Drosophila melanogaster: one gene and its partner. The protein of the gene in region 1 interacts with the protein of each later gene in a pairwise test. Each region holds a gene or a part of one and is shown in the gene's direction. Other genes may lie near its edges. The genes, in order: CG42393 and CG4676.

Region 1 (4,165 bases):
GCGTAAGCAACCGTTCAGCCAATTCATATTAGAACTATTTAGTAATCACCATTGTTTTTTCTTTTTTTTTTTAAGAAAACAAAGGGATTTATTAAAGCTGGAAAGATCTTAAGCTATTTCTTTCCCATATATAATATTGTTTATGTATTTCCATTAGGTAAGTGTATAACATATTTTTACATTTGACCTTTATACTAATACACACTCATATAATTTTCTTTTCTTGTTTTTTTTTTATAGTTATACATATTGGCTGTGTGATAAAATTATGCAGATATCTAAAGGAAAACTTTGATTAGAGCAGAGTTGGATATTCTCAAACCTAATAAATTCGACGATAACAAAATTGACTGTCACAAGGATGCAACAAAGGATACATTTGTATATATATATACATAATTGTGGACTCATTTCAGCTTTTACAATAGTTAACATAATGTAAGTGCTTAATTATATAAGTGTATAACATTTATAAATTTATTCTCCCCTGATTTAGTTATACGTGGAAAAAATGCACAGCAAGAAAATTATTCGGTAATTCGCAGTGCCGACCGATGATCAAAATTGACTTTGCTTTTGAGTGTTGTAATAGATACATATATCCTATTACCATCTAATACTGTAATCATTTGTCTACGGCATGTAAGTGTTAAATACTTATACCCGTTACAAGGCTAATTATTTGTGCTGCGATTACGACGCTGCAAAGTATAAATATTCTTGATCAGAAATACTTTCAATCAATTCAAACAAGTAATAAAATATAAAAATGCCAGTAACGAGAATAAGAAATAGTCGATTCAATCGACTATAGTTCTTTTTCCATGTTCTAATTTCTGTTTTGTTTTCTCTACTCAGTTTTACTTTGTAAAAATATTCAGCAGTATAAGGAAATCGTGAAAATTCAAAGTGGCTACGAATCGGATAGACTGAAATTTGCAATGCAATTCAAAATTTGTATTATAGCAGCAAACCAATTTCATTCCGAGGAAAATTTTTTGTGAAACTATATACCAAAATAAGTGAAAACTGTATTAAAATAAATATTTTCAAAGAACTCTTCGCATTACCACGATTTCAAGCTCGTGTCTTGACGTCATTCATTCTTTTATATAATTGTACACTAATTTCATTAAGAAGCTTTGCAGCACTGTAAAGGAGAGAATTGTGACCATATGAAAGTATATATGCACTAAAGTATCCTCAAAGCAGTGTTCTGTGTAATGCAAGTCTGAGCATTATTTTACATGGCTACCTCGGGAATAATCGAAAAATAAATGGAAAAATGGAAATTTTTTAATTATTTTTTTTAATTATGTATATCGGTATACACTTATTCAGGATAATGTATAATTTAGCTTTAAATTTAATAAAAAGCGAGCAACAGATATAGGAAGTGTTTTTTAGGTCATTTGTTTTTTCGGCGTTACATACATATGCTGAACTGAATCACTTAAAGATGGGCTTATTTGAAGGGAATGTATTTTCAGCAAGTTTTAAAAGGTGTATGTAGGTAGTACCTACTAGGTACGCTTAGAAAAAGACCGACAAAATTGTTTATCCACGTGCCCAGTGATGTTGATCTACATTTTATGGACCTTTAAAGATGCGGTTCGCTAAATGAAAATCTGCTGTGATGGTGTGGTTCGAGTGAGTAAAAAAGGAATCAAAAGGTATTGCTTAAAATTAGAGGTGATTTGTTAAAGGGATGAGTGTGCACTTAGATCCTGTGATTCATTCTTTTATAAAATGAAGGCATCTCTCATCGTGAACAGCACAAAATAATTAGTTGGTGTAAATTTAAAGAAATATTCATTTAGTCAGCTTTACAAGCCTTCGTTGATAAGAATACTGCACTTTCTTAATGACATAGCTATATGTTAAGTGCGAAATTTCTTTTTATCTACACAAATTGATCTAAAGATTTTAACTTTTAAATAGGATATTAAAGTCTTTTACTTTTTGGTGATCTACTGTGTTAAACAAAGTAGGCTGCCGAAAGTTTCCAAAAATTCGCACGTCGCAGTCGTCTACGAATATTATTTCATTACAGTTTTTGTACTAACACAAGTCAGTCGCTCAAAATTTTGTTTCCTTACAAAAAATTCACCGTGTTATTGCTCTAATAATTATAAAATATTTTGAAAAATTTAACAATGTGTAAATCGTGTGAGGAACAACCAGTTCGGTGCTGCTCAATTTTCTATGCCGCTTTCTGCATTTCATGCGGTCTCTTCATGCTCATTTTTTCGATTCACAATGTAATACTTTTGAAAAGCTCTATTACAGTCGTGGATTTTTATTTGCATATGCATGGTGCTGACATGTCTCCCTCAACTTTCCGCATCCTTTACTCGATGGATGTGATTTTTGCCCTTTCGTACGTCATTGCTGGAACTTTACTAGCTGTTGGAATCCACCTGGTAAGCAAAGCTCCTGATAATTCGCATTTGGCCATCTAATAAGCTTAATAACTTGTTTTTCTTTTTTTATATCAGAACTCAAAGGGGGTCTTCTTCGCTGGCAAGATCATAAGCTATTTCTTTCCAATATATAACATCCTTTATGTATTTCCTTTAAGTAAGTATTAAATTTATATGCACTAGCTGCAACTGCATTATTTACATATATTTCTCGATTTAGTTGTGCACATTGCCGCCACAGTGAAATTATGCAGATATCTTAAAGAGAACTTTAATTAAATTAATTGGATCTAAGCAAGAGCAGTGGACTGGAAGGGATTAAAATTGACAGCAGGATTATTGAAATATATTATAAAATTTTGGAAAAGATTTAAGCTATTGCTTGCCGTACAGTTACACTATTTGTTTAAATATTCCTTGTACTGCTACTCGATTTTGTGGTGAAATTATTCAGTAAGAAAGAACTTTAATAACGGGGCAGATTCGACATTCACTGTGCACAAAACAAGGCTAATACTTCTTTTATACCATTTTGAAAGAGTCCGCACAAAAATTAAGAACACAGCATGTAAGTCATTTAAGGAAGATTTTATATTTTTAAATAATTTGTATTTTTTAATTAGATATACGCGGTAAAATTATGCTGCATGGAAAAGGAATACGTGTCGTGATCTACATTGAGTGCTCTATAAATCTTAATAAATATTTTTATTGGTCTTAGAAAAGAAATATCATATTGTCTGCAATATGTTTACATCATGTAAGTGCAAAATATTTTTTTGTCACTATTCATACCCGTTACTGAACAAAATTAACTGAAAAGAGTAACGGGTATCTGATAGTCGATTCATTGGAATACTACTGTACTTCGTGTTCTAATTTCTATTTTCTTAATTTCCCGATTCAGTTGTACTTTGTAAAACCTAGTCAGCAGTATATGGAAAACGTGGAAATTCGAAGTGACTACGAAACGAATGGACTAAAATTTGCAATGCAATTCGAAATTTATCAGCAAACAAATTTAAAACACTTGTCCCGTATCAAGTGAAATATAAATTATCCTAATATAAATAAAAGGGTTTCCTAGCCGTGTTATGAAACGAGAATGCACTTCACATCTGTTAGTTATAAATAATAATAATATAACTCGAATAGGAGAATGCAATGCCAGTTGGCAATCATGGAAATATCGCTGTGAGGACATACCGCTTGGGTGTGGGATTACCGACGAGACCTTGTAACTTGGCCTAGTGCGATACCGTTACGCAGCCTCAGTTTCAATGCGATTGTAACGGTGTGGGCAAGGGCGCGGAAGGGAGACGGCGATAGCTCGATCGCAGGCGGCACTCAAGTACGTCACTCATACGCCCCGTTGCAACTGTAATCAAATTCACTTTTCGCTAATTGTTACCGCCGTCTCGCTCGCTCGTTCAGGAAATGTTTTAGATTCACGTTATACGCCTGCACTTGCCAGGCACACAACACCCTCCCCGCCGCCTAGAAACCCCGACAAACCAACCCGTGCATACATACATACATAAATATTTGTTTGTATAATTATTGTGTTCTCGCTTTCAGTGTGTCACATTTTTTTGTTTTTTTTTGTGTTCGCCTGGGTTTTGTTTCTATTGCTATTGCCTTTTGCTTTCTGCTTTTTGCCTTTTGTTTTTCTCTTCCGCTTCTCAATGACCTTGTGCTTTTTTCTAACATTTTTATTACGCTCGCCCACTTGTAATTCGCAT
Region 2 (3,630 bases), on another chromosome or scaffold:
TGGGTCATGAACAGAGCCACCTCGACGCCTAGAGTGGTGTTCTCCGGTTCGTGAACCACTGCCACGTACTCCGTGGCGCTGCTGAGACCTTCGAACAAACTGCTGGCTGAATCGTTCTCCGTTAAGTAGTGAAAGTTTGGCCAGTAGGAATTGTTGTGGCTGCTGGTCAGGTTCTCTGCGGCCACCATACCCGCTAGTATTTCGCGGATTTCGTTTTTATCCTGCGTATGCAGGCTCTGCCCGTAATGCTGAGGACCCGGCTGGAAACCGGGGCCCAGATAACGTAGCGTTGGATAGCCCATCACCTCGTAGTTGCGGCAGATGCCATTGTTCTCCTCGGCGGCGCAATCGATGGCCGCCACGATGAGCACCTCGGACCAGGGCAACAGGTGCTCCGCTACCGACTTGTACGTGGGTGCGAATCTGCGACAGTGGCCGCAGTAAGTGTTGTAGAACTCGACTAATGCTCCGCGATTCTGGTCCAGGACGGTAGCATTGAAGTTGTCGACCGACAGGCGGATAACCTTATCCCCGTCGTCGTAGAGACCCAGTGTGGGATCCGATGGAGGGGACTGCTGCTTGAGGAGCGCCTCGTATCGCGGAAGGGGAACGCCCGCGGATGCGATGTCCACCAGCAGAGCGACGGCCAGAATCACCAGGTGCGTCGCCGACATTTTGCGGATCTACCCAATTTGCGGGATCGGTTGCGGCTGCGATTCGTACGGAATGCGATGTGGAACGCGACTGCTCTGCTGCGATAAGATTTAACTTCACCGAAGCATTTGGAATGTTTTACGGTCGCAAGTGGTTTGATTAACTGCTGCCAGGGATGCCAAATCGTCTGCTTTCTAGCTACGATTCTTCAGCTATTTTCAAAACTCGCGAAGCGAAACGATGTTAAACGTTTTTCGTGCCATATAATTTGTGCATTTTTAAATTACTTTGCCTATTAATTTGTTTTATTGTCAGTAAAAGTCATTTGGTATATATGTATAAACTACTAGCTACACGAATTCATTTTTACTGCGAACTAGTTCGCTCCCAAAATTTTAAAACCTAAAAAAGAAAAAAATTATTAAAGTAATATAAAAAGAACAGTGCACCTAGGCTAGGCAATGTTTTATACCTGCTTGCACTCTACATCAAGGAAATGATTATTTTTCACAATTTAAAACTTTACATTGTTTAGTTAAACATATTCTTTTATTTTATTGTCTCGTTCGTCATATGGTTTTCGATAATCCGCAAAAAAAAACCCCAACCTATTATGCACACGTATATATTAATTGAATCGCCTTTAAAAGTTCCAAGAAAAAAAACAAAGCAAAGTTTCATCGAAGCGCTATGCCTTATCAATTTTGTATGGTTTTTGTTTTTGTAATTTCACAGTAGAAATCCCCATTATAAAGTCGTTCTTTAATTTCAAATAAAATTTTATTTTTAATTTCAAGTTTTTATGTAATAATATAAAGCAAACTTAAGAACTTAAGCTTATAACATTTGTATTCCTTTAATATACCATCGTTTATGACATTTGATTTATTCGTATTAAGTTACTTATTATTACCTTATATATTTATATTTCTTTAAATTAAATCATTTGTGTTCTTTAAAAACCGGATTGCTTCTGTTAAATTCAATCTTATTTAACATTTTACGGGTTTCCTAACGTAAAGAGTTGTGTTCTAACCGTTTCACCATACTCGACTTAACAGTCTTACCGTTAGCAGCAGAGCCAAAAATCGCTTTGCAGCACTGTCTCAGTTGGGGGGTACAAAAAATAACGGGAGCATGATGATTTTGCGCTCGTGGGATCGCGTTAAACCTCGTTCCATTTCGGATTTCGCATGTTTCCTCCTGGTGGCTGTCTTTGTGCCCGTGACATACATCTTCCATGTGACCATTGTTATGCCGGAACTGTTTGCCATCGGAGGGATTTGGTACACGTTATTATGGTTGGCCAGCCTGTTCCTCATCTTCAACATCACATCCAACATGCTGGCCTGCATGCTTGTGGACACTAGTATCCGCAGTGGGTAGCAAGCAGTGATTTTGTGGTATCCCTTCTAAGATTGTCTTTATAGAGGAGCTGCTGAAGCCACCGTTGGATGCGGCGCAGCTGGCACGGTGGCACTCTTGCCAGGATTGTCAGACATTGGTGCCACCTCGATCCTGGCACTGCGAAGTGTGCAACGTGTGCGTGCTGAAGCGGGACCACCACTGTCGGTTCACTTGCTGCTGCATCGGGCATCACAACTACAGGTACTTCTTCTACTACCTGGTTTACATGATCATCGGATCCTTGGCGGCCGCCATCATGGAGAGCATCTATCTGTGGCATCTCCATCTGGACATCTACTGGCGCTGGTCTACGCTGTTCACCATATTTGCTCCCGTGGTTAGCCTGATGCTGTCTCCAAGCTGGGAGTCCTTCTACTTGGTCATATATGATCTCACCCTTCTGGGCTTCGCCATATCATCCTTGCTCCTTGTCTTCCACTGGTCGATATTCAAGAGCGGTTCGGTGACACGAGAGCGCGGCACAAGAAAGTACGATCGCGGTTTGCGGGGTAACCTGGAGATGGTTCTGGGCAAGAGAATGCATCTCACCTGGCTGTCGCCGTTTCTACGCAGCGATCTGCCACACGACGGAATGAACTGGGAACCCATAGCCGCCTTTTCTCCAAAGGAGGAATAGATCTGAATTGTGTCTTACCCATTCTTGACATTCATTAGAGGCATTTACTTATATCTACTTCATAACAAAATCAGTATTGTTTATTTTAAGACTCACTAGTCAACATCTGAATTGGAAATAGTATCCAAATTTATACGTCTTACTATTCTCTACTTGACCAATGGAAATTAATTTTTAATGTTTACAAGTCACACATTTGATCAGCTTACAAGTTAAAATAGTACAAAGCCTTTTATTAACATAAAGCTTTACAAAATATTTAGAATACTGTGTATTCATTCAGTAATGTCTATTATATGTATTAAATTAATCTGTTTAATGAAACCAAACAAGTATTTATTAAATGGTTATTTATTTAACAGCGTTCATTATATAATTTACAAAAGACTCTACTACTTATCGAGGAAACTTTCGCCTACGAGCGATTTCAGCTTAGACAGGTGTGTTTCATTTAGGGTAAATCCTTCATGAATACGTTTGGCTAACTCCCTGGAATCAAAGTTGTTCTCAACGGCATATTGCAGGGCAAACAGCGCCTGGCTGGGTGACTTCTCCTGCACACTTGCGTCCACAAATTCTATCAGAGCATTTAGGCTTGGTGTTCCGGGAATTCTGTGCTGGTTCTTGTCAATGTGGGCGAAGACTTCGGTCGCCTTTTCGTAGCTACCACCGCGAACGAGAAGCGTGAGTATATCTCCCAGCATTTGGCCGGTGAAGGAGACCTTTCGGAGACGCTTGATAGCCTCCTCAACCCTTTCGAACATATCCAGCGCCACCTTGGCGCCCTGCTCCGGCAACTGTGCTTGGGCGGGGGAATCTGGATTCGGCTTATTATCTACCAAAATGCGAAGAACGTAGAGTAGAAGGCTCTCTCGGTGCGTGTGATCGAACACAACCATGTCAGACCAAAGGCGTGGCACATACTCAACGGC

What was found.
Region 2: the proteins of CG42393 (region 1) and CG4676 interact in a two-hybrid assay, tested with the Drosophila melanogaster proteins (one large-scale study listed by BioGRID).

The regions. Positions count from the first base shown.
Region 1 is NT_037436.4:18,040,688-18,044,852, forward strand, and holds CG42393 (uncharacterized protein), read left to right. Parts: upstream 1-2,045; 5' UTR 2,046-2,156; coding exon 2,157-2,423; intron 2,424-2,498; coding exon 2,499-2,580; intron 2,581-2,643; coding exon 2,644-2,702; 3' UTR 2,703-2,991; intron 2,992-3,046; 3' UTR 3,047-3,183; intron 3,184-3,330; 3' UTR 3,331-3,527; downstream 3,528-4,165. Other genes in the region: CG32192 (uncharacterized protein), read left to right, coding at 1-2, 76-157, 241-299.
Region 2 is NT_033778.4:13,234,224-13,237,853, forward strand, and holds CG4676 (uncharacterized protein), read left to right. Parts: upstream 1-1,756; 5' UTR 1,757-1,791; coding exon 1,792-2,032; intron 2,033-2,084; coding exon 2,085-2,698; 3' UTR 2,699-2,832; downstream 2,833-3,630. Other genes in the region: Qsox1 (quiescin sulfhydryl oxidase 1), read right to left, coding at 1-674; CG4679 (uncharacterized protein), read right to left, coding at 3,091-3,630.